Linked DNA regions of Kluyveromyces lactis. The protein of the gene in region 4 interacts with the protein of the main gene of each other region in a biochemical or structural test. Links are inferred from orthologs where the notes say so. Each region holds a gene or a part of one and is shown on either strand. Other genes may lie near its edges.

What was found.
Region 1: of the proteins of PAH1 (region 4) and HSL1, one has a biochemical effect on the other in vitro, tested with the Saccharomyces cerevisiae proteins (2 studies listed by BioGRID). The link is inferred for Kluyveromyces lactis from reciprocal best matches to the Saccharomyces cerevisiae genes PAH1 and HSL1.
Region 2: of the proteins of PAH1 (region 4) and NEM1, one has a biochemical effect on the other in vitro, tested with the Saccharomyces cerevisiae proteins (8 studies listed by BioGRID). The link is inferred for Kluyveromyces lactis from reciprocal best matches to the Saccharomyces cerevisiae genes PAH1 and NEM1.
Region 3: of the proteins of PAH1 (region 4) and PKC1, one has a biochemical effect on the other in vitro, tested with the Saccharomyces cerevisiae proteins (3 studies listed by BioGRID). The link is inferred for Kluyveromyces lactis from reciprocal best matches to the Saccharomyces cerevisiae genes PAH1 and PKC1.
Region 5: of the proteins of PAH1 (region 4) and KLLA0_F17006g, one has a biochemical effect on the other in vitro, tested with the Saccharomyces cerevisiae proteins (2 studies listed by BioGRID). The link is inferred for Kluyveromyces lactis from reciprocal best matches to the Saccharomyces cerevisiae genes PAH1 and RIM11.

What each region holds. Positions count from the first base shown.
Region 1 is NC_006042.1:1,251,955-1,258,849, forward strand, and holds HSL1 (protein kinase HSL1), read right to left. Parts: upstream 4,756-6,895; coding exon 952-4,755; downstream 1-951. Other genes in the region: alcohol dehydrogenase ADH3, read left to right, coding at 1-335; metalloaminopeptidase APE1, read left to right, coding at 5,728-6,895.
Region 2 is NC_006041.1:1,650,688-1,656,379, forward strand, and holds NEM1 (Nem1-Spo7 phosphatase catalytic subunit NEM1), read left to right. Parts: upstream 1-2,204; coding exon 2,205-3,329; downstream 3,330-5,692. Other genes in the region: NAT4 (N-terminal L-serine N(alpha)-acetyltransferase NatD), read right to left, coding at 1,262-1,909; MAE1 (malate dehydrogenase (oxaloacetate-decarboxylating)), read left to right, coding at 4,263-5,692. UniProt on the Saccharomyces cerevisiae protein: Catalytic component of the NEM1-SPO7 complex which acts as a phosphatase and dephosphorylates the phosphatidic acid phosphohydrolase PAH1. Essential for the formation of a spherical nucleus and meiotic division.
Region 3 is NC_006041.1:576,440-583,167, forward strand, and holds PKC1 (protein kinase C), read right to left. Parts: upstream 4,716-6,728; coding exon 1,230-4,715; downstream 1-1,229. Other genes in the region: Rab GTPase-binding protein SRO7, read right to left, coding at 1-800; SEA4 (Sea4p), read right to left, coding at 5,496-6,728. UniProt on the Saccharomyces cerevisiae protein: Required for cell growth and for the G2->M transition of the cell division cycle. Mediates a protein kinase cascade; it activates BCK1 which itself activates MKK1/MKK2.
Region 4 is NC_006040.1:830,450-837,469, forward strand, and holds PAH1 (phosphatidate phosphatase PAH1), read right to left. Parts: upstream 3,770-7,020; coding exon 1,385-3,769; downstream 1-1,384. Other genes in the region: MME1 (Mme1p), read right to left, coding at 4,455-5,549; QRI7 (putative N(6)-L-threonylcarbamoyladenine synthase), read left to right, coding at 6,402-7,020. UniProt on the Saccharomyces cerevisiae protein: Mg(2+)-dependent phosphatidate (PA) phosphatase which catalyzes the dephosphorylation of PA to yield diacylglycerol. Required for de novo lipid synthesis and formation of lipid droplets.
Region 5 is NC_006042.1:1,558,715-1,564,573, forward strand, and holds KLLA0_F17006g (serine/threonine protein kinase RIM11), read right to left. Parts: upstream 4,393-5,859; coding exon 3,145-4,392; downstream 1-3,144. Other genes in the region: KLLA0_F16962g (uncharacterized protein), read right to left, coding at 740-2,476; KLLA0_F17028g (uncharacterized protein), read right to left, coding at 5,193-5,711. UniProt on the Saccharomyces cerevisiae protein: Serine/threonine protein kinase that is thought to function in regulating kinetochore activity and entry into meiosis. Could phosphorylate IME1.

The DNA.
Region 1 (6,895 bases), on a different chromosome or scaffold from region 4:
GTGGTCCTCACGGTGTCATTAACGTCTCCGTCTCCGAGGCTGCTATCTCCATGTCTACCGAATACGTTAGACCAACCGGTGTTGTTGTCTTGGTCGGTTTGCCAGCTGACGCTTACGTCAAGTCCGAAGTCTTCTCCCACGTCGTTAAGTCCATCTCCATCAAGGGTTCTTACGTCGGTAACAGAGCTGACACCAGAGAAGCCACCGACTTCTTCACCAGAGGTTTGGTCAAGTCTCCAATCAAGATCATCGGTCTATCTGAATTGCCAGAAGCTTATGAACTAATGGAACAAGGTAAGATCTTGGGTAGATTCGTCGTTGACACTTACAAATAATCGGATTAATTAAAGAATGTGTCCCTCATTAGATTTCTTTTCTTTATTTAACTCCCATTATTACAAAAAAAATTAGTGCAAGGGAAGAGTCTCTCACCTCTTAACTTAAAATGAAAAAGAACAAACGTATTCGCCATAATCATATCATCCTCAGCCTCCTATTTTAACAAACTCACACAACGATTCGCTCTGGCTTTATGAACCTTGCCAGGCGTGTGTTTTTAAGAAGAAGTTTAACCGTTAGATAAGAAAGGATGAAAATTTGACGATACGTTCTTATTCCATGCCACCCCCCCCCCCCACTGTTACGTATGTTTATTGTTAGAGCTTATGACCTATCGATGACTATTGTTATTATCTTATACAGATGAAAAATCTCTTTTATTTGAATTGATTTCAAACAACGTATTTTTTATATATCATAGTAGTCATTGACCCCCCTCTCTTTCTTATCAATGAAGTAAATAATATTCAATCAATATTCCAATTTTTAAACTAACTTTAATACCAGACTTATCTTTGAATTGACTGGTATTGTCACTACTAGCATTAATTTATGTGTATTTTTTAAGATATATATATATTATTCTATTGTTACAAAGTTTTACAGATATTTTTATTCTTCTTGTGCACTAATTGCACCGGCAACGTCTTTATTGAACCGTTCAAATGATGCCATAGTATCCTTATCGTTAACGAACCTCTTACTGCGAGTCTCCAGACTTAGCACTGTCTCCGTACCATTCATGCATCTCATCTCAACGGTAAATTTACTCTTGGGTCGATTTCTCTTAATACCACCGAAATTGCAATCGTACGTCACGTACTCTTTATCTCCCTTACGTTCCATCTTTTTTAACTCACAATCTACACCATTCTTACCGAATTGCGTCATGAGTAAGATGTGAATGTTATCAAACGGTATACTTGAGGTCCGGTATTCATATACTGTCCGCTTTGGTTTCGAGGTTTTAATCCGTTGTAATAGTTTACTGAACCAATTAACGGGGGAGGAAGACTTCATACTGGTAATTGGTTTCACTTCATCCTCTTTGATCTTTGGTAATTTGTTTATGTAGTTGGATTTCCTTTTGCTGCCAACGTTATTTGTCGTCGTACTGTTGGCATTTAGCGTCGGTTGTCTTCTTTCTGCGGCAACGGGTTTGAAGACCTGTTCGGATTCAGAACTTCCGTCATCAAATAGTAAAGTCACCCTTCTAGTCTGACCTTGACCATGGTTTCCATCATCGTTCTTTTGTTCTTCTGTTGATAGGTCCAGGTTATCGCCATTGATAGAAGATACAAGAACAGTGGAATTTCTTTTAACGGTAGTGCCGTTTGTGTCTTCATTGGTTTCATTTTCGACTGGACGTGTATCTAATGCACTTCCTAGGAGTCCCAGTCCATTATCGTCATATTCAGCACGGCTTTCATCACCGTCGAGATCTTTGAACATCGAGATCATAGAACCGGTGATGGTTAAATCTCTGTCACCATTCGAAAATCGCTTTTGTTTGATATCTTTGATGGGACTCAATTTGAACTTAGATATAATTTGTTCTGTCGTTTCCCTTGGTAAATTATCCAGCTTATCCATTTGATTGATGTATAAACTGACTCTTACATCCGTTGCTGGTGTCAGGACATGACTTGTATCGATTGAATCGATAGAAGCAGCTTTTTTCTTCAAGTTAAGCTGTGACTGATCGATCATTGACTCAGAAGTAGTAACAGATTCATTAGCATCGTCTGGAGCGTCTTCGAAAATATCGATGTCACCGGCTGTTGTGACCGCTGGTGCAGTATTGACGTTATAATCGTCATAATTGGAACTGGTCTCAAACCGGTTCGAATCATTTTCAATCATCAAAGTTTGATTTTCCGAGAGTTTTTCATGATCAGTATTAACAGGATTAGATGCCTGAGTAACTGGTACTTTATCCTCATCGATATTCATGATAAACTGAGAGAGATCTTTGAATGTCATTGACGAATTGATCAACGACGATGGCATGCGTAAGAGATCAGGCTTAATGTCAGTCATAGGTGTACTGGTAGTTAACACGGTTTCCGGTGCTGTCAACTTACTTGGATTAGTCTTCTGCCTTTGCAATTGATTTTCACCTTCCGAAGAACCTTTCCCACCAAACAAAGCCTGCGCCTCTCCGCTTACAGTCCAATCCCCACTATCTCTTAGCTTTCTAATGGTAGATCTTGACTTGATTCTCTGTGGAACACTGACCTTCCTTAGAAGGTTCTCAAGTGATGGCTTAGGTTTGTTACGTTTGGGGTCCAAAGATGAGACATACATGGACTTGGATTGGAATGTATTGGTCATATCCTTCAACGGAGTCATAGAAACAGGAACAGTCGCTATTGTGTTATCAGCCGTCTTCCGTTTCATTGATGTCACACTTTGTCTATTTTCTGTCTGTGGCTGATTGTTCAGTTTTGGTTGTGCCAGTATATTCTTCGATGGCTGCGTAAGTTTTTCATTCTGTTGAGCTTTCATGTGCTGACCAGATTCACCGAGGAAATTATCCATCGTTGCACCATGCACAGACGTACTTCTATCATAATCGTCCACAATAGATTCAAGTTTGGATGAAGTGTGCTCCGAGGATGAAATAGAAGGTAAAGGCGGAGGTGGATATTCATGTTGCAACTCGTCATGAAGCAATTCGTTCAAGTTTATTGAACGTTTAGAAATAGATTGCAAAGAGTACAACGATCTCTTTGAAGCTGAGTTTTGTAACGTTCTTTTCTTTGGAGTGGTAGGAGTCAATGACTTCTTAGAGCTGGATTTTGATATCGATTGTGAGGAAGATTTTGCGCCAAAGTTTGGTTGGAAAAGTTTTGAGGAGGAGGAAGAAGCAATGAATCCCTGTTTTGTCTTCTTTGGAGATTTTGAACTTCCATTTTTCAAGGAACTTATCGAGAAATGTGATTTCTGGTGGATCTTTGGAGCCTGTAGGGTACTAGATTCAGAACTATCAGATGATATTTGTTGTCCAAAGGCCGATATTGTTGGAGCCATCGATGCTGGCAGTACAGTTCCGTTACTTGATTGTTGTTGTTTTTTCGCTGTATTTGTTACACTATTCACATCAGATGAAATATTCAATGGACTGACCGAGGAAGCGGACGATGTTTTCAACGTAGGAACAGGTATTAAATCCTTTTGCATCGATTTCTGTTGTTTCTCCTGATAATTCCATAGTAAAGAATAAAACATTTTCTCTTCAGTGAATCCTGGTTTCATAAGTCTTGTCACCAAATGTTTCCTTGCAGCACCGTGCCATAGGATCTGTAGGTTGGATAAGATTGTCTCATCGATGTCCCTTTCCGACGAAAAGCTCACAATATTTGGAGTACGATTCAACAGATTCAAATCCGAATTAGACTTACTGCGAGATTTCTGATCATATTTCGTCAGCAACTCATGCTGTAAGATTTGGTCAATAGTAATTCTTCTATTTGGATCTACCACCAGGATTCTAGAAATTAAATCTTTAGCCTCTACCGATAACCATTGGGGCATCTGATATTTTCCTGACTGTACTTTCAACAACAATTTCTTGACGTTATCGTCGTTAAAGGGTAAATGTCCAGTCAACAGGGCGAACAAGATGATACCACAGGACCAAACATCACTTGGGGATCCATGATATTTCCGACCCAGAACGATTTCAGGAGAAGCATAATGTGGTGAGCCACACGAGGTCTCCAGCAGTTTATCCGAAGTCTCTAGGGCAGCCATCCCAAAGTCTGCAATCTTGATAGATCTCTTTTTCTTATCCAAAAGCAAATTCTCTGGTTTCAAATCACGATGACAAATATTGAACCCATGGCAGTATGCTACAGCTTGTACTATCTGTTTGAAATAATGGATAGCCTCACTTTCCGGCAACTTCCCCTTCGAGACCAAATAGTCGAACAATTCACCACCTTCAACATATTCCAATACCAAATATAACTCAGATTTGTTTTCCCATACCTCGTAGAGACCCATCACATTGGGGTGCGAGATAAGCTTCATAATGATAATCTCACGTTCGATCCCATATGGCAGCTGTTTGATCTGGTTCGACTTAACGAATTTTTTGGGAACTATCTTAATCGCTGACAGTTTCCCCGTTTCCATATTCTTTGCTAGACGAACTCGACCCGATGACCCTTTCCCCAAAGTCTTACCCAATTTCCAGGGACCTACCGTATCGCGGTTTCTCCTCTTCGAAGTCTTGGTATTATTAACATTAGCATTCGACGATGCAGTCGAAATCTGTGAAAGACGCTTAGTAGCGTCTGTTACTGACTGAACAACCCTATTCAAATGTTCATTATTTGCACGATATGGGACCTGGCCGTGACTAGAATTATCCTTCATTGCCACAACGGCAGCTTGAACAGCACACGACATCTAGCACAAACAAAGCAAGCGAGTGAAATTGAGAAAGCAAAAGAGCAGAAGAGAGCGTGTGTGAGTGTTTAAGTATGATAAGCGAATGTAATGATTGGAAAATAAACACACTCTGTGATCAAATCAATGATTCTTCTTCTTCTTATTATTATTAGTATTCTTCTTCTTCCTTATAATTCAAATGGTAGACCTAGCCTTGTAATTTGCAGTTCCAGCAGAGCGACAAATCAGCGTTACTGATGATGTTAACGTTGCTTGGTGTCTTCTCTCTTGGATGTTGTTTGGTTTCAAATTCTGATTCAAACATTGTTATGTGTGCATATATTTCATGAAAGGGCTTTATTTGGTAAATAGTTGAAGTCATTCTGCACGACTAGTAAATACTAGCAAGACGCGAGTTTGAGCTTTGTTCGCGAAGACGAAGACGCGAAAACGCGAAAATTGGCAGAAGCAGTAAAGTCGAGAACATGGCAAGTTCAACTTGCTGTGATAGATTTGAACCAGGGCTTTCGGCGCTGGTTCAATAATTGTGTTGGTTGCTGCCAGTGTGCTGGCACGGGCACGGGCATCAGCACTTTTGGTTTATCTGAATGAAATATAGGCACAACCACGTGACCTTTGAATTTACACGGCCGAAAACAACTAGATATTGTCACGTGACCTTTATCAATTCTGTTGCCTATACGAACTATGACTTAAACTTATCCATGATATCTTATAGCAACCATCTCGCACCACTCTCCCCTGAGAATAGTAACTAATTGATCTTCAACAACGCTTAATAACGTTACTATCCCTCGATATTCACACTCCGCTCCCAATTCAAGTCATATTTCGCTCGCTGTACAGGACTCTGAATTACTTTTAACGTCTATCGATCACAGTTTCTTCTTCTCCCCTATATTAAAGATAAAGACACTGATAACATAACAGCGCTCAAAGAGACAAACACCATCCGAAAAGTGCAACCCAATGACAGAACACATCGAAATAAGCAAAGAAACTATCAACGCTCTAAGCGACGTCTTGAAACAACTAGCCGTCATTGAACCTAGGTCAAGAGACGTTAACAACCAAAATGACAAGGTTACCAAGAAGTCGACTAGTAAGCAAAGCCAATTCTCGAACAAAGCGACGTTCAGAGAGTACTCGCAAGAGTACATAGATTTCACATATGAAAACCCTACCATTTACCACGTCGTCAAGTATTTTGCCAAGAAATTGGAAGAGAATGGCTTCGGTTATCTCAGTGAAAAGAGTTCTTGGTCCAACGTTGAACCGGGCCATTACTATACGACCAGAAATGGTACAAACCTCTGTGCCTTTGCGGTGGGACCCGAATGGAAACCTGAGTTAGGTGTTGGTATCATTGGTGCCCATATTGACGCCTTAACTGCGAAGTTGAAACCTTCTTCTAAGAAACCTGATGTGGAAGGATTCGAATTGTTAGGTGTAGCTCCATACGGTGGTACTTTAAATGAACTGTGGTTAGACAGAGACCTTGGGATCGGTGGTCGTGTCCTAATTAAGGACCCTGATACTGGTAAGATCAGTTCGCATTTGTGCAACTCGGCTCCACACCCTATCGCTAGGATTCCATCTTTGGCACCACATTTCGGTGCACCAAGTGTTGGTCCATTCGATAAGGAGGACCAAACTGTGCCCGTGATTGGCTACGTCGGTAATGGAGACTACGATGATGATGATGAGGACCACGACGTCGAGGATGAAAAGAAGAGCCCGTTGTACGGCAAACATAGTATCCATTTATTGAGATACATTGCCAAGTTACTATCCGTTAAAGTGTCTGCCATTACGCAATTTGACTTGGACTTATTCGATGTGCAAAAGGGTACTTTCGGCGGTCTTAAAGACGAATTCATCTTTGTTCCTCGTATTGACGACAGAATCTGCTCGTTCAGTGCCATCAATGGGTTGATAGAGCACAAGAAGACTGGCCATAAAAAGGATGGATTTAACGTCGCAGTGCTTTATGACGACGAAGAAGTTGGATCGTTGACAAGACAAGGTGCTAAAGGTGGATTGTTAGAATCAGTGGTCGAAAGAATCGTTGCTAGCAGGGGAAACGACGTCTCTGAGACGCGTACGGCATTCGCCAACTCTATCATCATCTCTGCAG
Region 2 (5,692 bases), on a different chromosome or scaffold from region 4:
TGTTTGACGAACGGAAACCAAGAGCGAAAAAATCAGACTACTGACAGGGTTCAGTTATGGCAATTTTTTCTATTAATTCTAGCTTTGAAAAACGGGCCGGTATCATAGTAAGTTATTTTACAGACCTAGGCTTTTCGCTGACGTGGTATTTATTCTCATTTCTTAGAAAGATTCGCACGGGGTTAATGATTGGGATGGAGCTAGGTGATACTCCTTACTCTATTCATTCTCGGTGGAAACTGAAGAGTGATCGATACACGAACAACTCACGATGATGGGTTTACGGGTCTTCCGATCATATCTCCTCGTATGTGTTTGTGATCAGATTCTTTTAGTTTGCTTGGCGTCCTTGAATCATTCATATTCGGAGCGCGGAGAGGGCGAAGTTTCAAATAACTGGTGTGATTAACGATTCGGATAGATAGGCAAGAACTAAGATGAGCACAATGGTTGCAAACTAGCTGCAAGGGCTGCTTCCTTGCTCTTCATATGTGAACGAAACTAAAACAAACCTTGACACGTTTTTTCCTTTTTCTACGCCCGTTTCTACGCCAAGTTTATCTTAATTCGTAGTCTGCACTGAAAAAGGAAAAAAAAGAAGGTCTTTAATACCTCAGGGCAAATTTAGGCTACGAACTACGAATCAGCAGAATGCGACTGAAAAGGGTGTTTGCTATATGAATCAAATCGCCTACCTTAGCGTCGGTCTTTCATGAGAATAATCCTTGAGGGTAACTAGGTAAATTGTTTAGGTGCAAATCTGTATGTCATTCTTGCTTTTCATATCTTGTTCAAAGTGTGACAGTGCACCCTATGTGCTGACCACCACTGGGAGCTGTAAATAAACCATTAAGGTTGATAAAGCACCACTGTTGAACGTCTTTTTAACAACCGAAGCTATGATAACTTCCCATTGATGTAATTAGACAGTTACATCAGAAGAATGTACCTTCAAAAGCTTAAATCGTTCATGCACAATAGAAGAGAAAGGGAACACAAAAAAAAAAAAAAAATAGAAAAAAAAAAAAAGATAAGACCCTGCATACATTTTAAGGGTTCCAGTTTCTCTAGGGCACATGCTACAAATTTCTTATACAATAGCCCGTTAGGAACATCCTCGTGGAATGTAAGCCATTTCAAAAGAATAGAGTACTTTTATTTATTGCGTTAAACCCTCTTTCCGTGTGGTTATGTACATATCTGTGCTCTGCATGGAAAAACATCTGCAAACCATTGCAGTGTAGGCTGTAAGGTCCTCAGATTAAGAGGCGCCGATAACCCTGCTCATTCCAATGAGATGCTCAGAGAACTCGACGGTAAGTTGGAACCCTAATCTTTTGTACCATCGACAGGCCACATCATTGGCAGTGAATACGCATAGTTCAATTGACGGACAGGTCAGGTCACGTGCAAGTGGGATAAGTAATCCATTGAAAATAAGAGACCCTAAGCCACGTGACTGGTATTCTCCCATCAGATGGATTTCGTATAGGAACAAACACGGCCGATTCAATTTGGAGTGGTCCAATTCTGGATTCAATGGGTCGGATAATGCCACTGATGTAAAACCTACTATCTTAGTGGTATCTCTCTTGAACAAAACAATGTAGACTAAATCTTTATCCAGCATTTCATCCCATTTGAACCTAATCCATTTCTCGTTTCCCTTTCCTTTATCGTCATCAGTATAATTGTATATCGATGAGCCATGCAGCTCGTAGAACGTGCTCAAATTCTGTTTTATAATGGCAAGGCACTTCGGAAGTGTGGAACCAAGATAGTTTGGATCACCAGAGTGTACTCTATTACTAAATACCTCGCACACAACATCCGAATCACCAGTGCTATTCAATTCTTGGCAGAGTACGCCTGCGACACGTCTCAAGTTTCTACTATGGTAATTGGACATGTCTTAAGTCCATCACAGCTGGTTATTGAAACAGAAGCTCTTTCTATTGCTATTATGCTTCACCAGCGCGTATTAAGCTCCAACTTTTCAACAGTTTTTGTTGACATATTCCATGCCACTACATATTTGAAGCTAACCAACCGAAAATAGAAGGGAAAAAAAAGAAGTAATATATACATTCAGTGAATCGCAAATATAAGGTCAAGAACACTGAACAGTGAGACATAGTCACAATCCTTGGTAGTGGGACGTTGACCAATCAATAGGAGAGGCTTTAAAACATAGCTGTGTTCCAATGAATGCGATCTCTTTTTTGTCAAATGCACTTCCTGCTCCGCAGGAAGTGCCGATCAAAGAGAAGGAGGGTATATTAGTGGATCCGACCCCCACGAATACCCAACCGAACAAAGTAAAAAACAAGACGACGACGGCGTCAACAACAACATCAACAACAACAACGTCAACAGCTACGAATAAAAGGAATAGACCGTTTATGAGATGGATATGGTGCATATTAATATTCCTACCAAACTATTTGCTAATAAAACCTATCATAACGATCTGGTACGTTATCACATTCCCATTGAATTTAATGGAAACCAACACGCAGGGGAACAAAGGATTGATCCAGGTAGGATCAGAAACTGACAGTAGGACCGAGAAACTATCGAAATACGTGGTAGAAGAGGATCTATCACCGACTGATGAGATCATAATAAACCAGGATAAGATGAAACCAAGACCTATTACAGAATATTTAGGGAAATTTCATTTCCCCAAGAAATTAGTACCCCAATCAATGCTACTTTCTACCAGTCGAAAGCTTTTAGTACTCGATCTCGATGAAACGTTGATCCATTCCATGAGTAACAGTAGATCGTTAGGGAACCCAACAGACAAGAACCCTAGTGGCACCACACCAATGATACACCTGGTAGAGGTACGATTCCCGCAGACAAACATATCCACGTTATATAACGTTGCCAAGAGACCGTATTGCGATATGTTTCTCCAACAGACGAGCCAATGGTACGACATTGCCATCTTCACAGCATCCATGAAAGAGTATGCAGACCCAGTAATCGACTGGCTACAACAGACGTGTTCGGTACAGTTTCACTACAGATGGTATAGAGAAGATTGCACACTTCGGCCTGGCGTCGGTTACGTGAAGGACATCGGTACCGTGGCAACCCAAATCGAAACGTCACGTGACCTCTCTCAAATGATTATCATTGATAACAGTCCTATCAGCTACGCAATGCATCTGGACAATGCAATACAAGTACATGGTTGGATCAACGATCCAAGCGACTCGGAACTACTACACCTATTGCCACTACTAAAGGCCATGCGTCACGTGACGGACTCTCGCTGTATACTTGCACTCAAATCAGGTAGAGCATCGATCTCCAACTAACAGTGTTATTACCCTGTCCATAATATAGTACTAATTTGTAGAGATGCGAATATGTAGACAAGCGATTTAGGAACCGAAAGTAATCCCTGAACCGGCATCCAGAAAAGAAAAAGAAAAGGGCTATGTTCCTCCAATTACTCCAATTATTCCGAATGCACCCGAACACCCAGACACGCCACTAGTGGCATACCTCGGATCAGACCGGATACGGAATACATACGCGCTGCGACACTGCTCTCCAATTTTCCACTGTACCACGTGACGCTTGATAGTTTTTTTTTTTTTCTTCACTCCTTTCGACCACGCGCTACTGGATCTTCTGCGGCGACCGCATTCTGTTCTTCCTTTCTTTCCCTCACTTTGATGCGATTCTAACAAGGCGCCAGTCTTTAACTTGGCGCTGTACACCTTCACAAGGTGTGTCTACTTGGTTAATACGTTGACCGAATTACGGTTTGTGTTAGGATATGGATCGTTAATAGCATATAGGCGTATTGTATAAGCCTGTGTCTTTGTGTTGTATGAGTAATAAATCCTCTTCTGTTCTGTACTGTGCTGCTGTTTCTAACTGTCGAGGATTCCATTTTCGCGAAGATAGCGATTTTAAATACCTTCTTGTTTCTTTATTTCACTAATTGTTCCGTTGTAACTTGTAACTTGCTAGCGATTTTTGACTTAGCTGCCACTCTGATATGTTGCCAGTAATTCATTTGTTGGAGTTCTAAGCTGCAACCTGTAAGCTGTAAATATCGGCAATCAATATTGATATATATATATATATATATATATATATACATATATAAGGTAGACTAATTTTGTTGTTAAAAGTGGAAATATATCTCTTGATAGGATTTTTTCAGACTCATCATCACTCATTAGGTTTGATTTGGAAGAAAGACATCCGGCGTCAAGAAACCACATCCCATTTGAACAATGATTAAACTTCCCGCTAAACTGCTTGGTTCCAGATTTTATTCTTCTGTAACCAACCAGAATCGTTATTCTGTCACTAGGCACAATGCTCCAAAGAAATGTCCAGAGTCCGGCCATTACAATAAAATTCCAATTGGCAAAGAAGCTGCTAGGTTACAATCCCAACCTAAAGTGACTAGACTGTCTGTCGATGGACCAATTGAATGTCCTTTGGAAGGTTTCCAATTGTTGAATTCACCATTGTTCAATAAGGGATCGGCTTTCACTTTGGAAGAAAGAAAGGCATTCGGTCTAGATGGGTTGCTACCACCACAAGTGAACACCTTGGATGAACAAGTGGAAAGAGCTTACAAGCAACTCTGTTACTTGAAGACCCCATTGGCTAAGAACGATTTCATGACTTCGATGAGAGTGCAGAACAAGGTTCTTTTCTTCGAATTGGTCAGAAGACACATTAGACAACTGGTACCGATCATTTATACCCCAACTGAAGGTGATGCCATTGCTGCATACTCTCACAGATTTAGGAAACCTGAAGGTGTCTTCTTAGACATTACCGAGCCAGACAGTATTGATTCTCGGTTGGCTGCTTACGGTGAGGATAAGGACGTTGACTATGTTGTCGTCTCTGATGGTGAAGGTATTCTAGGTATCGGTGATCAAGGTATCGGTGCTATCAGAATCGCTATCTCGAAATTGGCATTAATGACCCTTTGTGGTGGTGTCCACCCAGGTAGAGTGATGCCAGTTGCATTAGATGTTGGTACTAATAACAAGCAATTGGCTAGAGACGAATTGTACATGGGTAACAGATTCAGTCGTATTCGTGGTAAACAATATGATCAATTTTTGGACAAGTTCATCAAGGCTTTGAAACATAGATTCCCAAATGCAGTGCTACATTTCGAAGATTTCGGTGTAACTACTGCTAGAACTTTATTAGAACGTTACAGAAACGAATTACCATGTTTCAACGATGATATCCAGGGTACTGGTGCCGTTGTTATGGCCTCTTTCATCGCTGCTCTAAAACATACCAATAGAGAATTGGTGGATTCGAGGATCTTGGTTTATGGTGCTGGTTCCGCTGGTTTAGGTATCGCTGATCAAATAGTTAATCATATGGTCACTCACGGCTGTACTCCAGAGGAGGCAAGAGCCAAGATTTATCTAATGGACAGAAAGGGTTTGATTCTAGATACCATGGAAAATGACTCTAATCCAGCCCAATTTTTATACGCCAAACCAAGTGAAAACTGGGAAGGTGCCAACACACAGTCATTGGTGGATGTTGTATCAAAGGTAAAACCAACCTGTTTGATTGGTTGTTCAACCCAAGCAGGTGCCTTCAACAAGGTTGTCGTAGAAGAAATGTACAAACATAACCCAAGACCTATCATTTTCCCACTTTCAAACCCAACAAGACTACA
Region 3 (6,728 bases), on a different chromosome or scaffold from region 4:
AATGGATCTTCATCTAGCAAGAATCTTGATACTATTTTCTGACCAGTGTTGCTGTCCCAAAATACCAAACAATTGCCGTCGTGAACGGTCATGATATTCAATCCATTAGGATGAAATACTGAGTGGAGCACTTTTGGAACATTTTCCCCTTCTTCGTGAATGAATTGTTGCTTTACGTCATTTTCTACAAATGAATAGAGAACAGTAACTTTATCATAGGCAATCAACACCGTCCCGATATCTCGCGGATTCCACTGAAGAGATACTACCGGAGATAGGGGTTCTCTTTTAAAGAACCTGCTTTTCTGGAGGTTTTCGATCTTGAACGGCGAAAGATAGTCTCTATCAACATCATATACGATGGTCGCACCACTCTGTAAACCGATCAAAACCCAGTTTAACGACGGATCCGTTTCAATACAGGTGATTTTGCCCGGTGGAAAAAAGGAGGCAAGCAGGGCTTTTTTATGAAGAGATAATACGCTCAATGAATCCTTGGCGTCGACAACAATCAAATATATACCTTTGATAAATCTCATCTCCTTAATTGCCTTAACTTCTAGAGTAAAAACAACCTCAACTTGCTGCTTCCCATAAACATGAATTTCTCCGCTATCTGTAGCAATAGCTAACAAGCTCTGAACTGGATCAAAGGCAAAGGTGCACACTTTTCCGTTCATACCGTACCTGCTGACCTCGGAAAGCTCAAACATCTTTGATGAGATTCCATTCGAGGCATCTTTCGAAGCTACCGATTTGATAGCGTTCGAAACCGTCTTGAGCTTCTTACTTTTAAACATCCCTCGACACTCTATGGCTATTATTCTCTGATTACTTGTGAGCCAACTTGATATGTTATTGTTCTCTGGTTAGTGTTTGTGTCTGTTTAAGCGAGGATGATATTGTGTTAAATATAATAAGCCTCTCGCATTCATATACGAAAGTTCACGTGACCTTACAATGTAAAATCTCTGCCACTTAACACATCAATTAAGCGGTAGGAAACGCAATGGGAAGGAACGTTTCGTGGGTAATCGTACGTAGTTTCATTGAATCAAAAAAAACAGCAGCACATTTGTACTTGATTCACTGTATATTTCTTCATATTACTTTTTGCTTATTCAGATCATGGGTAATGCAACGCTCTTATAGAGTTACAAACGTAGAAACGCCCATCCAAATAGAGGCGTAAGAGCAAAATCTAGTATATGTAACTACACACGGGCAGGTTATAACTGCAAGTCTTCGGGCATGAAGGAAAAGCCACGGAATTCCTCTTGTAAAACAGAACTTAATACGGATGGTAGTGGTGTTAGGGTTGGAGGAGCCGAAGTAAACTCTTTTTCGAAGTACGATGTGTCATCTGCGGCCTTGATTTCGGGAACGAAAGGTGGTTCAACACGAAGATTTAGAATATCGTCAAAGTTGATATTGCTAAAGAACGGCTCCGCCATGATTTCAAGAGCGTCTTTAGGACCAGCACCTAAACGCTTTTCGGGATCCTTCGTTAATAGGCCTTGGAAAATTTGAACAATATCACCGGCCATATCAATTGGATACAAGGGTTCATCGGTAAGAATGGCATTAAAGACCTCATCTTCGTCTTCTCCAGAGAACGGCGATTGACATAACAGCATCTGGTATAACAATACACCAAAAGTCCACCAATCAACTGCTTTTGTATACGCTTGGCCCTTCAAGATTTCTGGCGCCATAAACTCGGGTGTACCACAAAATGTTGAGGTTTTATTCCCATACCACATATTATCCTTGCACAAACCGTAATCAGCAATCTTTATATGACCTTCGGGAGTTAAGAGAATGTTTTCTAGTTTCAAATCACGATATATAACACCATTGTCATGGAAGTACTTTAAGGAAAGTAAAACTTCTGCAGCATAGAACTTCGCTCTTCTGACAGATAGTCTTCGATTTTGGACATGCCACATCAAGTCGCCACCTCCAATGAATTCCATTGCAAAATAAATACGATTTTCTGTTTGGAAGGAGCAGTATAGGTTTGTCAGGAACGGATGCTTAGTTTCCGTAGCAAGCAAAAACACTTTCTTTTCTGCCCTAGCACTTTCAATATCATGGTTCTTGATGATATTATCCTTTTTCAAAACTTTAATCGCACAAAGGTTACTAGTATTTTTGGATCTTGCTAGCAAGACCTTACCAAAGTTACCTTTTCCTAATACTTTTAGTAAAATGAAGTCATCTAGAGACACCTTTCTCCTTTTGGAGGATTTTTTCTTATGCTTTGTACTGCTGGTGTATGATTTTTGTGGTGAAGATGGTGAACTTTTTCCTGTTATGTTGGCAATATCAGCGGCATGCAACTCAGGAGTTTCTGTCGTAGAGAGACTGTATTCGAGGTCCTCATATTGGGCTGGCGGTGAATATTGATCATCTGTGACATCGGCGGTTTCTTCAATTATGTCGTAATCACCCTTTTTGGTGGCAAGCTCAACGTCCCCAGTACTGTATGTTTGTTGTTGCTGCTCTTGTTGTAACATGTTTTGTTCATTGTACCATCTCTCTTCTTCTTCCTTTCTCAATCTCTCTCTAAGCTCATAGTGAGATTGCTCTGAATCGTCTAATTCCTCTTCATATCCATAATCTTGTACGTATCCGCTGTCTTGCTTATTAGGGTGCTTATTTTCATAATTTCCTTCATATTCTTGCGCAAAATGCTCTTGCGCATGAGCCTGCGGAAGATTACTTATATGAGCAGCATCGAATTGAATCTTTTTCATTGAATCAGGAGACAAACCGGGGTCCAAGCTATGTTGGTAATTCCCGTGATCTGGCGAGCTGGTTTCCACATTGCTGGTGAATGAGTCATAATGGCTATCATGTTGCGTTATAAAGTTATTCAAACGATCCGTCACTAGGTCTTTTCTTGCTTCTGAAGGCGTAGTTGGCTTGATAACGGATGTATGCATATCATCATGATCAAAAGAGGTCTCAAACCTGTTATTTAGCCCATCAAAGCCTTTAGAAATTGGTTTGGGTTTATTATTCACTTTGATGCCACTGAATCCTCTCTGCTGCTGAGTACGCTTAGTATCCTGAATAGTTAGCAAAACTTTGTTGGCCATTTCCATCGACATACCACAGAAATCTGGAACTAAATGAGCACATTGAGCATGGCACATAACCCCACATTCAGTACATTTTCTGACGTTCTTTCTACCCCATGGTAAAATATACCCACAATGGCAACACCACTTCGTACCCCGATTTGAAACAGGTTCAAACCTATGAGGGATACGGTGGTTAAGTTTCGTCTCGTCAGGATCTGAGTCGGTACTTGTTTTAGCAATACATTTTGTAACCACATGCGCGTAGCACTTCTTATGGCATAAGAACTTGCAATCCTGGCATTGATAGCCACTATACCGTAAAAATTCACCGCAATATGCACAGCACATGACATTGTAGAACGATTTTTGGACAAAATGGTGCCCATGTTGCTCAAAGATATCCTCTTTACGGTTGACAATAGCACCATGACGATGTAATCCACCCATGAAGGTCTTTCTTTGTGTAGTGTTTGACTTATTGAAACCAAGTGTCAATAATATTTGCCCGGCAGGTTCCAAGATGAACCATGTATTTGTGGTTAAACTCTGCGTGTGGGTGTCGTTTGCTTCTCTATCCTCCGTGGGGATTCCAGCATCGGGTAATTGCGGTAAATCCTTTGTAATTACAGCTGTATTATTCGCAGGTTGAGAAGGTGGAAGTCTAGAGGCCTGCATCCATTCAGCGTGGCTTTTTCCTTGCTTTTGCTGTTGACCGACTTTTTTTTTCCGAATTTCTTCAGCGATGTCGGCAAGTAATAACCACATGACAGCTACTGGTACAATTCTGTCATTAACCTTATCATATATTGTAACTTCTACCTCGTTACCTTTGTCTATGACTATGTTAAAATCTTCGTGCCACCTATCATTTCTCGATGGTTTTGTCTTCGCTTTTACCACATCATCGACTTTGATAGTAATAAATGTCTCTGGCTTTCTCGAGAATAGAGGGGATTGGATATGATCAACATCTCTAATTGCAGTAACACCGATAGTCAGAGTACCTGATAGTTGTTTTCTCCTAAACTTTGGTTGAGTTGCTTCTTCTGTGTGATCATTGAAAGGATCGATATCAACGTTGATGGCCTGATATTTTTTCAATGATTTTGTTAAGAGCTGAATCCTGTGTTTAGATTCAACAGATCCACCTTGTGCAGCACTGCTACTCCGCTGGTCTCCATCAATTTGGTAGAGTTTAGTTAACTTATCATTAGCCTCTTGATATTGCTTTTCAACTTGCAATTTGAACTCCAACTGCTGGAGCATGTATTGAATTCTTTGCGACAAAGATGGACAATCGTACTTTACCAGATCTAGTCTAGAGTATCTAAACTCATCTGGTGATATTGTAGATAGCTGACCAAAACCGGGATGATTGCTAGCATTCTGGCTGGTAGGAGTATTGTCTGGCTGTTGACTGACTCTCAACTTAGCTAGAATTTGTTCCAAGTACTCTATATTTTGTTGAGCCTCTCTAATATTGGTGTTGCATTTCTGTATGACCATGACATTATCAGTCTTTTTCTTCAATTGATTCGAACCCAGTATAATGTTTCTTTCCCTTTCGATCTTTTTGTAGATGTCCTGTTCAACAGGGAATGCAGTGTGTTTACGATCTTCATCCATAGTTTCATACAATAGTAATATCTTTTTATGCTCAGTTCAGAGTGTTCATACGTTAGATGGCTAGTTGGTGCCTTATAAGTTCATGAAATAGAATCAACGCACCACTTTGACAGGATCTGATCTGAAACAATTTCAAGCTGTGTTCGCCCAGAATACCAATATTTTAAGATCCCAAACCACTGAGAAAAAAATGTTTGTAAGAGAAATATTCAACGAAAAAAAAAGTCCCAACTAAACTGACTTAATAAACCGTTGTTTATAGTCGTTCTTTCCTTTAGTTTTTGGTATCCTTAAAGATATTGTTGAGATCAAAAAAAACCATATATTTGTTTGTATCTGGATAGATCAAACTTTTTATTTTCTTAGTTTCGCCACATGATTTCCTGAAATAGAGCTCACGCATTTCAACTGATCGGGGAATCTTAACTAGTCACGTGAAGAGGCTTGCGCTCATGCGAATGACGGTGGGCAATGATGGAAAAGATGGCTTTAAGTTCCATCGCTGAACCACGGTCCATCCTATAACTCGATGAATATGCTCGGGGAAGTTTTCCAAGTATGGTACTGCGTTGCTAGTATCATTATTTTGTGGATGCGTAATGATTCATTCTGAAAGCAACGTTCAGCCGCTTGATATCTGCATATGAGATATTTGTATGTACTAATAGTGGGAGAAATGAGTTTTTGGCGAGGTTAAGGATTAAAGAGATTATATACGCTGAATAACAAGTTTAATGATTTATCCTAGAGCGTTTAGGTCCGAAATATTGGTAGAGTGTTTCATTGATGGCATAAACACGAACACCCAGGAACAGGACAAATTGAATGTCTTTCAAACCATTCCTCTGCATGACCGGCATGCATACCATGATTACACTTGAGACAGAAACTGAACCATTCGTTCATTTTCAAACGCTTTCTTTCCTTGACCTCGTTAATTTTCGCGTCGTCATCGATTCGTACTTCACATGAGTTGGTGGTGCCATTGATGACTATGGGGAGATTTGAAGTACCCAATGGCAAGAGACAAATAGCACATCTTGGGAAAGGCGTGCCACAATGTGGACATGAATGTTTCTGTTGGGGGACATCACCGTTTGTATTATTGAGGCCGAATTTCTTTCCTGCATTTAAGTTTTGATTAGCATGTCTTGGTAGGGATGCATTAGAAGACACATCAATGGGTCTGTTGATATTCTTCTTACATTTGGAACATTGTAAATACATTTGACGAGGTTTTAACTTCGCTGTAATTCGACCATCACTAGTCCTAGATAATTTTGTCTTGAGCACATCGAACTTGGCCCTCATAGTGAAAAATTCCCAGGAATTTAACATATGGCGATATGTTTCAACCCATTCATCAACTCTTGGGTCCATGAAGTATCTTGGGGAGCCGAAAACTGAAATTAGTGCAGCAGTTTGAATATCACTAGTCTTTCCAACGTACGATTGTAGAAGATCAATACCATTAGGCGTTATACCAGTCAAGATCAATCCTTCTAGTTCACCATTTTCAATAACAGTAGTAGCAGTTTTTTCTAAAAATCTGGTTAGATCTGTGTCATTTAGAAATCTAAGAGCAACACCAAGCCTTTCCCTTAGAGAGATAGCGCTCTCATACAGGATATCCCACCAATCATTGTCTGCAATGAATGCAAAAATGACTCTCAAATAGGGATCATCAAGCTCAGCAGCCATTTTTCTACATTGCTGTCTCCATGCATTGTCACCTGGCTTTTCACTATAAGCTTGATAACCTGCAATGGCCGCAGCAATGAGTCTAAGACGTTCTTTATTTGCAGATCCCAAAATAGATATAGCTTTCTGAACGTCACCGAAGAAGACAGCCCAGGCAGCAGCTTTCTCATAGTGATTTTGAGCTATTAGTGATTTATATTTTTCTTCGTAATCTGAAGGAGACAAATCCCAGCCACTAATAATCATACAGAGTCTTCTCTGAATGGCCTTTTTTGATGACATTTCGGAATTTAAACTGGAAACATTCCCAAT
Region 4 (7,020 bases):
GCGCAAATACAACTTTGGGTTTGAAATATGTAAAACACCGTTAAAATCTATTGCTGCATTTAAAACAAAAAAGTTTTTAAATAAACAAAAAAATGACGACAACAGCAGGACTCGAACCTGCGCGGGCAGAGCCCAAAAGATTTCTAATCTTTCGCCTTAACCGCTCGGCCATGTTGCCCAATTTCTGTAGGAAGAGATGTTTAATCAGAATATATCGACCAGTACATTACACAGTTTCAACAAGAAGGGACTCCTGTTCGTTACTAAGCCTGGAGTGCACAGAGATGCTATTGGATCAATAGTCCTCCGTAGAACAGACATATCTAAAATTATTGAATGAAATACTGGTATGGTTATAAAATCGGCTACCCCGGGGTATCAATGTTACGCTTGTCAAAAACACGTGCAATCGGATACAATTAACAGCTAATACTCACAGTAATGCTCTCCCAAATCAGATGGTAAAAAAGCAGTTTGAATTATTTCAACAAAACCTCTGCTAGGAACCACAAACGCGGTATATATTATGTAGCGTGATTTGTTGCCAACACACGTTGTACAAGAAAAGAAATGTTAAGAAGTCTAACTTATAAAAAAATAACGACAACAGCAGGACTCGAACCTGCGCGGGCAGAGCCCAAAAGATTTCTAATCTTTCGCCTTAACCGCTCGGCCATGTTGCCTAATTTCTGTGGAATGTTTACAACCAAAGAACCATGCTGTAAAAATTTTCTGGCAGGGAGAGATATTTATATTGAGTTATGGTCATGTTTTGTGGTCAATAGTTTCACAAGAGTAATATATCATTCGACAATTCATGATGACCGTGACGCTTAGAAGCTTATTGAAAATGTCATGGTTACTAGAAGCTTCAGTAATGTAATAATAGCCTTCGTTCACTGAGAAGTAGTTTCGTCTTAAATAGTAAGTAAAAGAACCACTTACCCAGGCGAGCAATGTTATTTAAATCCAGCGACATGACAAGACATAGAAGTAAATAAAAATGTAGAAATCAATCTCCGTCAAAATTTTACCAACAGGTGTAAGCGATTTCATTACTAAATATTGAAATTACTCCATCAGCTGGATAGGAAGATTGTCAAACTAGGTTAGAAATTTTTTACATATATGGGTCATTCCGATTTGAAGTTTATATTATTTCTAAATACGAGTGACTAGGTACTTTGAATGAATGAGGAAATGTTAATCCGACTCCCAACATAGTAACAGTTCAAAACTGGGGGTATTGCAAGCAATATTCTTGGGCATTTTTACTCTCGTGCTTTTCAACTCATGCCGTCATTAAATTCATGATGTTCTGCACTGAGGTACATAATGTCTGTATAATCCTGATGGACTGTATTTGTAGTTCCTTGAAAAATAGTCAAAACTCGTCTTCATCAAATTCATCTTCATATTCATCCGAGATGTTTTCGGAACCTTGATCTGTTGTTAAAGATTCTTGTTCAGAGAAATGTTGATCCGGATTATGTCCTTTTTCATCGCTTGGTATTTCCTTATCAAAAGAGTTATTGTTTGAATTCGATGAATTAGTATTTCTACGGCTTGTTTGCGACTGCAGTTGACCCATTACTGGTCCCGATCCATCGTTATATACATTAACCGGTTGGACTTCTAGCGTCGAAGGCGTGCGGGCAGAAAGATGATCAAAAGTCAAAATACTATTTTCACTAGATGAATGTCTTTTCAAAGGCTGCTGGTTCTTTTGGGATAGTTCAGAATTATTAGAATATCCATTATTGTAAGGTGAATTAGTATTCATATCGAGATCAGAGTCTTGTACCTTGAGGACAGGAGATGATAACGGCGATCCCAGGTTCAGGTACATCCTTTGTCCAATATTATCAGGATCACTTTTTCTCCGAGGTGTCAACAACAGTTCCGTGTCATTGCCTTCCCGAGGCTCATGCACAGACAATCTATTTTTGTTAGTCTGGTTAGCAGTACCATTGGTTGTACTGTTCCTAATACCTTCGTTGTAAATTTCTTTCGATGGAGAGGTTGCCTTCTCAGAATCGTTGCTTAGATCAGAGAGTTCATCAAGGTCGGGAATTGGTTCTCGCCAGTAATTTACGTCGGTATACTTCTCATCATTGGCTCGATAGAATGATTTTTCATCATGCATTATGTTTGTTCCATACGGCGAACCCGGAGTTGTTGAAATACTCCGAGCATCTTCAGCGACAAATGGGTACTTTTTGACAGGCGGGAAGAAATGGTCTACAAGTTCATTAATATGGATGTAGGAACTTTTGTATCCTGCTAGCTCTAGTAATTCCATATGTACTTCCCCATCAGGGTTGATAGTGAAAATACGAGAACTTGGAATACCAACGGTTCTATACGACAAGGCATCTGTGATACGATTGCCAAAACCAGCAATAAAAGGAGTTGGCATCTCATCAGCATCATCTTTTCGGTTATTAGATTCTGGGAAATACAATGCCTTCATGTCTTTTAAACATGCGATTTTGAACACTTCAGGTTTCTTTAGAATAACTTCCCTTCGCAATGCTGCCATTGTTCTATCTGGCGAGAGAATAACCGGCCCAATGGGTAATGTACAACCATTTTGTACAATACTTCTTAGGTAAGATCTTGTGGAATCAGATTGTCCTGCCGTCCTGGCAGTTAAATACATGATGTTATAGCCGTTCCCTCTGATTTCTGTAAAAAGCTTCGCAACGCCAGGATGAGTCCAATCTTTACCAATCATGGTTAGGACGTGACCCAAGGCATCAGATTTAGTAATTGTACCGTCAATATCGGAAATCACAATTGGATCGTCCCACTTCCAATAGAAAAGTTTTGCTGTGATAATTGCTCGTCCCTTATCTACCGAGAATGTTAAATCGTTTTCACCATTCGACAAATCTAAACATTTCAACTGTTTGGACGTTAATCTGATAGTTTTGATAAAGTGTGTTGTTGCAGTTGCAGCCGATGGGACTTCAACTCTACTGTTATCGGTGCTAAAGGATGGTGTTCCTTCATTTGATGAGTAACCGAGGACCGATTGATGCTCGGAATACAAGGAGTCCGACGATGTCATAGGTGGAGAATTGGGAGGAGAAGTAGCCCAACATGGATCTGTTGGGTTCACTATCCGAATGTTTCCCTTTTCATCCTCCTTCACAAACTCTGACAAGTCTACATCTTCTCCAAGTTCATCGTACAACAGCTGTTTTAACAATTCATCAGTGTCGTTTACTTTATTTTTACTCGTTTTATAACCTTCAATATCAAGTAATAGATCTCCATTATTATCAACAGTGGATGGTATCTGTTTCTGTGTTAGCGTTTTAGTAATTCTTTGGATTGGTGTCGGTGTAGTTGGTCTCTCAATCTTTGAATCATTGATATCTAAAAAGTCGGGTTCTTCAAGGGCATCATCCTTTGTCGTTGGCTTGCTCTCAGGACTACTGGCAGCGCTAACAACAGGCGAAGATATCAATTCGTCTGGGATACCTTCCAAGTCAGCTAAAGTCTCAAACACGAAATAAGCCTCACCAGAATCTCCAAGCTTCATTGGGATGTCCGTTGATTGTCCGTTAACCAAGACCTCTACCTTCTTCTGAGATGGTTTTAAGATCTGAAACTTACCAAACCTAACATGAAATGGCGAGCATGCCAACTCGCCATCAGGGTGCTCTACCACTATAACATCTATTGCTCCGGATAATGTTGCTGGATTGATCGAAGACCATGTCTTCGATACAGAGTCAAAAGCTCTGCCCACGTATTGCATCTATTTCGAATATCGCGGATGGTCAGAACAAAGCCTCTGTGTCGTCTAGTTTATCAGACTATCTGCAAAGGCGCGTTTTGAAGTTATCTTTCCCCAATTAACCTATACCCGTTTTGTGACATTTCAATATTAGCTTCATTTCTTTAAATAACATCGTTTACACTTTTTCATTTTATTACATACATTTTCCAACGTTTATTCTAAACATTAAAGTATGCAGGAAAAGGAAGAATAGAGATGTTGAACAATTCAATGAGGTAGATGGATTTATAATTTGAAGAGTGATCGCCAGGTGAACAGGCAATACAGTTGCAATTATAACCCAGCAAAGGCGTCTTATAAGAATGTCTTTAATAATAAGAAATATGGAAAATGTATATACAAGGATTTCTTAAAGGGAGACTATGTTCAGTACGTCCTTATGTTAAGCTTAGCTACGAGGTGTATTCTTGGGAAAATCACCAGCAGATGAGAAAAGGAACCGAGTAGTTTATCTCTAATGATTCGTAAAGATAGATAATACTGATTAAAATGTGTAAAGCGCGCAATCACTTGCAATTGAGCGACGAGTTCATTTTATTGATGAGAGCAGCAATTTTGTACAGGAATAGTGATACAGTTGAATAAACAGTTGTGATTTGTCGAAGCGAGATTCATAAAGATGGTGGGGATAGTTTGTCAGGTGTTAAAGTTTCTTTTCATCTGAAAGCTTACTGTCCAAGGTTTTTAATGCAACTTGATATAATAGCAACATGATACTACTTTGTATACTTGTCCAAATAAATCTTGGTCCAACACCGCTGAATAATCCAGCGAGACCTTCTGTCTTGTAAACGGTCATCATGCCTTTCGTAATGGAATTTGTCAACGTTTGCTGCTTTAAATTCTGAGAACTATTTTCAGGGATATCTGGTAGCTGTGTCTGGATTCTTGTCTTTACAACATCTAATGGAGTTGTTATGATACCAGCAAGACCACCTGCAGCAGCACCGGTAATTATTTCGTTACTCAGAGATAAATCTTCATCAAACGTTTTATTCTCTACTGCGAATGCAAGTTGTCTAAATTTCTCATAAAATGCAAATTGTAACCCAGAAAACGGTAGATCCCGACTCAAGGTTGCTTTATAACCAAAGAATAAAGTTGGCCATCCTTCTCGCCTCACAATGGTTGTGACGGCATCTGTGAGGTTTTTGTAATTATAGCCGCTGCGGAAAAACGGGTTGTTATAACGGCCTTGCAATTGTAATCTGGTCTTTAACACTTCACTGGGCACATACACGAAACTACTAATGAAATCACCAAGGAACCCTGCAGTTAAGTGAGAGAAAGTTTCATTTATTCCCCATTCACCAATCATTTTTCTTTTGGTGTACTCGTAAGTAGCAAAGAAAATTGCCGCGCTGGGGAAGGATCCGAGCATTGCACCCGAGTAACCTCCGTATAAACCCTTGCGCAACCCTTCCTCCAGGATAATTGTTCTATAAGCACCAATCATGTTTTTATACTTCACTGTGCTTGGAGCACCTTGTTGTCTTGTCTTTACTGTATCCAATGAATGCATAGCAGAGTCACCTATGGCTCCTCCGATACCACCAGCCAACATACAATGCACAATTGGTGAATAGGCATTTTCTGTGGAATCTGCATTTGTTTTTCCACCGGATGGTGGAGGTACGGTCGATCCATGACGTTTTGATTGTTGTTGTGATTTAAGAATACCTTCACTTGGGTGGTCATGAGTTCCCACTACAGGAATAGAAGATGATAACGAAAACATCTGGCTGTAAATGTCACAGGATGTCACAGAATCAGTAATTCACTATTATTGCGTTAACAATTGTGTGTTTCTGCCCGTTGTAGTTCCTCGTTCGATCTTAAATCAGAGATTGTAACAATGAAGAAGATGCACAGCTGGCACTTAACGTTCTATCAAAGTATGAAAAGGACCACTCCTGATACTGAAAAAATGGCGGTTTCAACGTGTAGGAAACACCTTCTTCTTCAAGTTATGCGCTGCTAATTTCCGACCCTTCCGTTTCAAAGATTTCAGGTATCTCTATCACAGAATCACTATTGAATTCTAATTGGAAAAATTGCCTACAGTTGCTATATCAGAATGTATCCAAACAATAAAAGGCCACAGAGAAAATGTCAAGCTATTCGACAGTTCTCACAAGATAATGGCACTAGGCCTATTTGTTTTCTTAACTTTGCTTAATTTGGGAAACAAAGCCAGCACAGAGATTGAGTATCCACTGAAACGCCCTCAAAAAAGTCCACAAACGAACGACAAACAAGTATCAGACCGATTTTAGTTTCCCACAGTTACTAATTGTCGGCAATACCTCCCAAGGATGCTTTTCGGACTCTGGAAATAATGATGTGCTCTAGATTACTTCATGAATTTTATTAACTTTTCATTCAAAAATTGTAACATCTGAAAAATCGAAAAATGCTCGAAACTGAAAAAAAGTGTTAATGGTGCAAAGGTGTCTGTGTCTATGTTTGACTAAAGGAACTTTAAGAGAAATCGCTTCTATGCTTTATTATACGACCCATGCGATGAGATGAGATAAAATAATGAACATCGGACTGTAATCCTCTGGTTCTCGTTGATACTTCCTGGCCAATGTTTAATTGTTACAAGAGTCTACCGAGAAGTTTGGTTTTTCGAAGAGCATACCGGGTTTTAGCGATTGAAACGTCATGCGATGATACCTGTGTAGCGATTTTGGATCGTGGGACAAAGGATAGGCCAGCCGACGTGCTGTGCCATTTGAAGTCCACTTTAGACAGCGTAGAGTATGGCGGTGTTATACCGACCCGTGCGCATGAGCATCATCAGAAAAATATAGCATCAGTGGTCAAGTCTGCACTAAAGACCACGAAATCACAGAATAAGATCGATTTGGTATGTGCTACTAGGGGTCCCGGGATGCCAGGATCGTTATCTGTGGGACTAGACGTTGGAAAAGCCCTCTCTGTTGCATGGGACAAACCGTTCATTGGTGTTCACCATATGTTAGGCCATTTGTTGATACCGAGACTCGAGACTGATGGTTTGAAACCTCAGTACCCGTTTATAACGTTACTTGTCAGTGGTGGGCATACAATGTTGGTACTTTCAACTGATGTTGATAAACACGAGATTCTATGTGATACTATAGACATAGCTATTGGGGATTCTTTGGATAAGACTGCAAGGGAGTTGGGAATAAAAGGTAACATGATTGCTAAGGAAATGGAAT
Region 5 (5,859 bases), on a different chromosome or scaffold from region 4:
AAAAAAGAAAACGCTAAAAAGACTTGCTAAAGAAACATCAAATTCAATCGAATATCAAATCTTAATATGTTAGTTATATATGAAATTATCAACAAACCATAGTGCGCATACTAAAATTTTTCTCCTACCTGTTTTTAACTACTTAAACCGAAAAAATGCTTCGAAACAAGTCTATCATTTCGGGAACATCGGTCAAGACACGAGATGAGCCAAATTCTGTGAAGCCTCTGAGACTTTTTTCTCATTGGTTTCCCGTTGTGCGTTTTGCTGCAGGGTAATCTTAATGGGGATTAAAGCGTGGGGAAAAGCAATTCTTGTCAGAGGTTGGACGTCACTGTGAACGGAAGCGATCTGATTGGTTGGCTGATGTATGTTACAGTCACGTGATACGTACTGACCGGCACGTGACAATTAACTTAATGGTAATGGTTCTGGAATATCTCTGATCAGTGTTACCCTGAGAAGATGATATTTTTTCGCTCATATTATCTGTATTTGACATCAATAGAGTATTTATTTACTTCATTCTGTTCTTTGCGTGAATATCGGTATAATGCACACGTGACTTTTGGTGTGCTCTTCGTTAGTGCCGATACGAAAAGCGTGCCGTGTTGTTAATGGTAATGCGGTTAACATTGAGACTGATCACCAAGCAGGTACTTGTGTGTTCAGTGCTTATTAAATAATATATATATTTGAAGCGTGAAAGTTCTCTGATATCTGTTTCACCCTTCTCCTTTCACGTTCTGGGTCTTTTATGCTGCGGAGAAGATTCATCATCACTACTGTCATCCCGTGGATCGAGTAGTACTGGAACATCCATGGATGGAAGGATTAGTTCTACAATTTTCAACTGATCGGATTTATTGAACTCTTTATCGCTTAATAAACTATTCAATTCCCCAACCGACATACATCTTCTCTTGAAATACTCTTGGGAATAGAAAAGTGACGGGAGTTTTAATAGTTCCCACGGTTGGATATCGAAGTATGTAGCGTTCAGATGGGTCTTTTCTCTATTCAAGGTTCTGTCAACGGTATAACCTTGATTATTTATTACAAAAATGTAAGGTTTGAAACCGTGCGTCAATATGGTGCTTAGTTCTTGGAAAGTAAATTGTAAAGACCCATCACCCACCATTAATATAATCCTATGCTTATCCAATGTCCCCATATCGCGATATGCTGCCAAAATTCCAAGGCATGCACCGATAGAATAACCAGATGAATTCCAAATTGCTTGGGATACTAGCCTAGTATTATCTGGGAATTTTTGTTGTAGGAGACCAATAGCTGAGGTACCAGATTCAGAAATAATAACGTCACCTTGTTTTAGCCATGTAGACATCTTAAACCAAAGGTACTCCTGTCGCAAAAATGTCACCGGTTGCGGTTCTACTCTGGGTATCATATTCGGTATTGTTACTGGACGAGAGTTTACTATTTTGGTAGTATCTAATGACGCTATTAGCTGTGGGAGTAGTTCATGAAGTAAAATATCAGGTATTATATTATTTTCAATTTTAACTCTATCATTCCAAAGTAAGATTTGGTTTTTACTCTTGTAGTTGAATCTACAGTACGAGTTTTTGAAGTTTTCGATCATACATCCTAAAATTAACGTACAATCTGCATTATTCATATATTCTCGAACAATGGGCTGTGACATGGTACCTAAGAAAGTCCCAACAAAGTTGGGTAAGCTTTCGTCAATAGAACCTTTTGACATTAAGGTTGTCACAAATGGTATTCCTGTTTCCGTTAGGAAATTTTGTATTGTGCTGTTGTAATTATATCTATCAATTAATGCATCAACCACGATCAATGGCCTTGATGAAGCGTAAACTTCGGCAATGATTTTGTCTATAACCCTCTTTATTGTGTCCGTTTGAAAGAAAGTGTTCTTTATGCCCATCTTATCTGCTATGTTTCCGTTTAGAGAACTACTGGGGACAAGTTTCGTGGCATCCTTCGATCGGAGGCCCATATAAACAGGGCGTTTCCCCCAAAAAAGCGTTCGTACACAACTGTCTATCTCAGAAGGATCATCCACTACGTCATGAAAGATTGAAACATCTCCAATCAACCTCTCAAGATCATGAGACTGTTCCAAGACGACTACCTGTAAGATGGGAACATATTCACAAAATGATCCAAAAAAACCATTAACATGGCCTAATTCTGCAGATTCGCTAGTGACGTAGCAGCTCACTCCGATAGCTCTCCCGTATGCATCTACTGCAAATGATGTGTTCAATTGATTTATCGTTTGGATCCACTGTATCCCGCTGGCTGCTATGGCTTGATATAGTTTCGCAGTTGAATAATTGGCAACTCCAAACACAGTACGGCAGTTGAGCTGAAATAATCTATGAAAAAGATACTCAGGCAAAGGTATTAGCGGTGCGACATTATACCTCTCAGTATAGCTCATCTCCTTAGCAGCCCCTGAGTGTATCAGGGTCTTGGTTTCCATCTTTTTGTCCGTCCCAGTATATTCCTGTTAAACTTTTAATTCGACTTCTCTTCAAGGAAAATCAATTTTGTCAAGTTAGTTCTTGTACAGGAAAATGTGACAAAGAAAATGCAAAGTTACACGATGGACAAAAGGTAACAGTAGTTTTTAAGTACTCAATCGCACGCACGTCATGTGGCTCTTAATAGGTGAGTATTGATATTATTATGAACTGACAAGGTGAAATCCGGTATGAAAAAGGTAGGACGGAAGCTAGAAAGAAAAGTATTGCTATAAAAGGAAGAATTATGATGTCCAAGTGCCCTTTTCCTAGTGAGGAATAGGGAATGCTTAACATAAATAAAAAGAATCCACTGCCCAATATGAACACTATTAGGGACAGGATAGAACTATAGGTTTTCCGAAAGACATTGAAATGAACTTTAAAATTGAAGAGAAATATGATATGCAAAGGGGGGGAGCGTAGGATAGCATTGAACAACGGTGTTGCCTGCAACAAGTAGGCATATGAGAAGTAACTATTTGTATGCACATTAATTTCGTGTATTAATTTCATTTTCTTTGGATGTGCTGGGTAGAACGTTACATTAATGCATTTGTATTTGCATATTTCCTTCTCTCAACTAGTCTTTTTTTTTGTTTTTAGTTTTCCTTTTGTCTTGTCGGTTCTATATCAGTTTGCCAGTCAATCTATATATATCGTTAGATGACAACCCTTGTAATTCACTTTCCTCAAAATGTAGCAATGGTAAAGAATCGATCAACGAAAGGTTTGAGTCCGACCCGGTGTTGCTGACGATATCAGTGAAGTACGTCGAATTGAACATACATTGTAAAGCGCTGTATCTGATATTAGGATCATATTTCATGATATGGTATAATAAGTCTATAGTTTCCTGTGTTTCCTTCTTGAAGATCCTATTCAATGGGATCGGTCTGATCTGAGGGAACTTATGTTCGGAGTAGTTTTCATTCATGGAACAGATCTCTTCCCTGGTTGGTGTACCCAAAACTTTAATAATTTCAACCAATTGATCGATCTTAGATTCACCAGGGAAAATGGGTTGTCCTAATAGCAGTTCAGCCATAACACAACCTGCAGACCAAATATCAATCTTTGTTGTGTAATTGGTAGCACCAAAGATCAACTCTGGGGCTCTGTAGTAACGGGAGCAAATATATGACACATTGGGCTCGTTTGGTTTCAACTGTTTAGCAGACCCCAAATCACAGATTTTCAACAGTAAAGTATCTGGATCCACCAAAATATTCTGTGGTTTGATGTCTCTATGGCAGACATTGACCACTTGATGCAAATAGTTTAAAGATTTGAACAATTGGAACATGTAAATCTTGATTTCGTAACGATCCATTGGTTGATGCAAGGAAATGAACTCTTTGAGCCGTTGATAAAGAGACATGGGCATGTAATCTACAATCAAATTTAGATAAAGTTCTTGGTCCGATTGTTCAAGGAAATAGTACTTCAAATCGATCAAATTCGGATGACTGATCAATTTCATGATCTCCAGTTCTCTATTCTTAAACCGTCTATCCTGTAGAACCTTCTTAATGACAACATCCTCCCCAGTCTCTTTCACTTTTGTTCTGAAAACGACACCAAACGAACCATTTCCCACAATTTCAGGTGTGCCGCATGAAATAACAACTGACTCCTCGGGGTTGGAATGGCCTTTCACCACAGTCCTTCGGGTTATTACTTCGTCTTCATCTGGAACGATTTTAACATCATTACCATGACTGTTCTTACTATGAAGACTGCCTTGTTTTAAATCATCACTGGGTAAAATGGAATCCATCTCTGTCTCAAAACCAGCGTTTTTATCGTTAGTATATGCAATAATAGATCTTGAACCACCGGCACCGCTACTTTCGAGCAATTCACCAACTTTCATTCAAAAAAAAAAAGGAGTATTGTACTAAAACTATGCTGACATGCACACTTTTCTCTGAATCCTTTCTCTCTCACAACAGATAAGAAGTGATTGATCTGTCTGTGTGTGTTAATTGTTATATGCGAAGTCTTGTTCTTGGTGTTCTTTTTTTTTTACCTTAAATTTCACCAAATTTTCCAAAAACTTCAAACACGCAACGTCTTCTAAGACCAGTAAAATAAAATATTCAGCACACGCACTCACAAACACACGCGCACACCGATTCAAAATATTATGCGGGGGGGAGAGAATCAGGTTAAAAACAACAGTTTTATCGTCTTTCTTGTCTGGCTCAATGAAAAATTTTCCAATGTCCTCATGTCTTTCTCAAAGTTTTATTCAGACAATAAATACTAAGCGGAAAGAGTAAACTAAAACTGCTTGCAAATTGCTTTGTTAGTCCAGACATTTATTGTATCGAATCAGCTTACTGGAAAATTGAAGGAGAGAGAAATCGAAATAGTTTTTTTTTTTTTGCCTGAAAGCATGACTGGGTTGAGAGCCTTCCCTTGTATATGCGTAGAAAGCAAGAAAAGTGTTTTGTCTGACAGAATAATCTAGGAACTGACTAGCCAGACTACTGAACAGTTTGCCCCTTCGTAGTATTACTTAATAGGAAGAAGATTGCTTGTTCAAATAGTATAGTTTTTCCTGGAACCGGATGCCAGGGAAAAGTGGAAGTTCGTGAGTACTTCTCCGTTAGTCCGATCACATCCAGGAAACCAAGCAGGGAAGCCACTCAGGGGCCACCTAGGCAGGGATCAAGGACAAATGGAGCAAAGGGTGCCGATAGGGAAAGGGGGTCGGAAAAAAAGTTCCAAATTGAAAATTGTATACATACTTGTTACCCGACGTGATGGGGCGGCGTTATTGCCGGTAATTTGTTTGTGGGGCGGAACGGTAGACGAAGCTTTGGATGTCACGTGTTTAGCATTTTTGTCAGAGGAAGCCGTTGTTGTCGATGAAGACGACGGTGATGAAATGTCAGACGCAACGATGGATTCCATCGCTACATCATGTACCAATTTCAGTTCGTCTTCCAAACTGAGCTGTTTCACAACGAGCTCGACATCGAGCTCTTCTGTGTATCTGTCATGACAAGGTAGTGCACCGGCAGCTTTATCCTTGCTCTTGCTCTTGGCCTTGCCGTTCTGTCCAGTTTTCTTGTCGACAACAACTGGTACTTCGGCTACCACTTGTGGACCAGACTTGCGTCTGGTCCACGTGATGCCCTCAGGATTGTATGTTGGATGAATCTTATCTCTAATCTTTTTGAACATCTTTCGTCTGTATTGCTGGTGGTTACGACTGGTCGGGGTATGGCTTTTCTCGTTCTTGGTGAAGTCATCTAAACGATGGAGTTTATCAACCTCTGGTGTTATATACGCGTGAATTATTTACACAAATTTTTCATCACTACTGTAAATT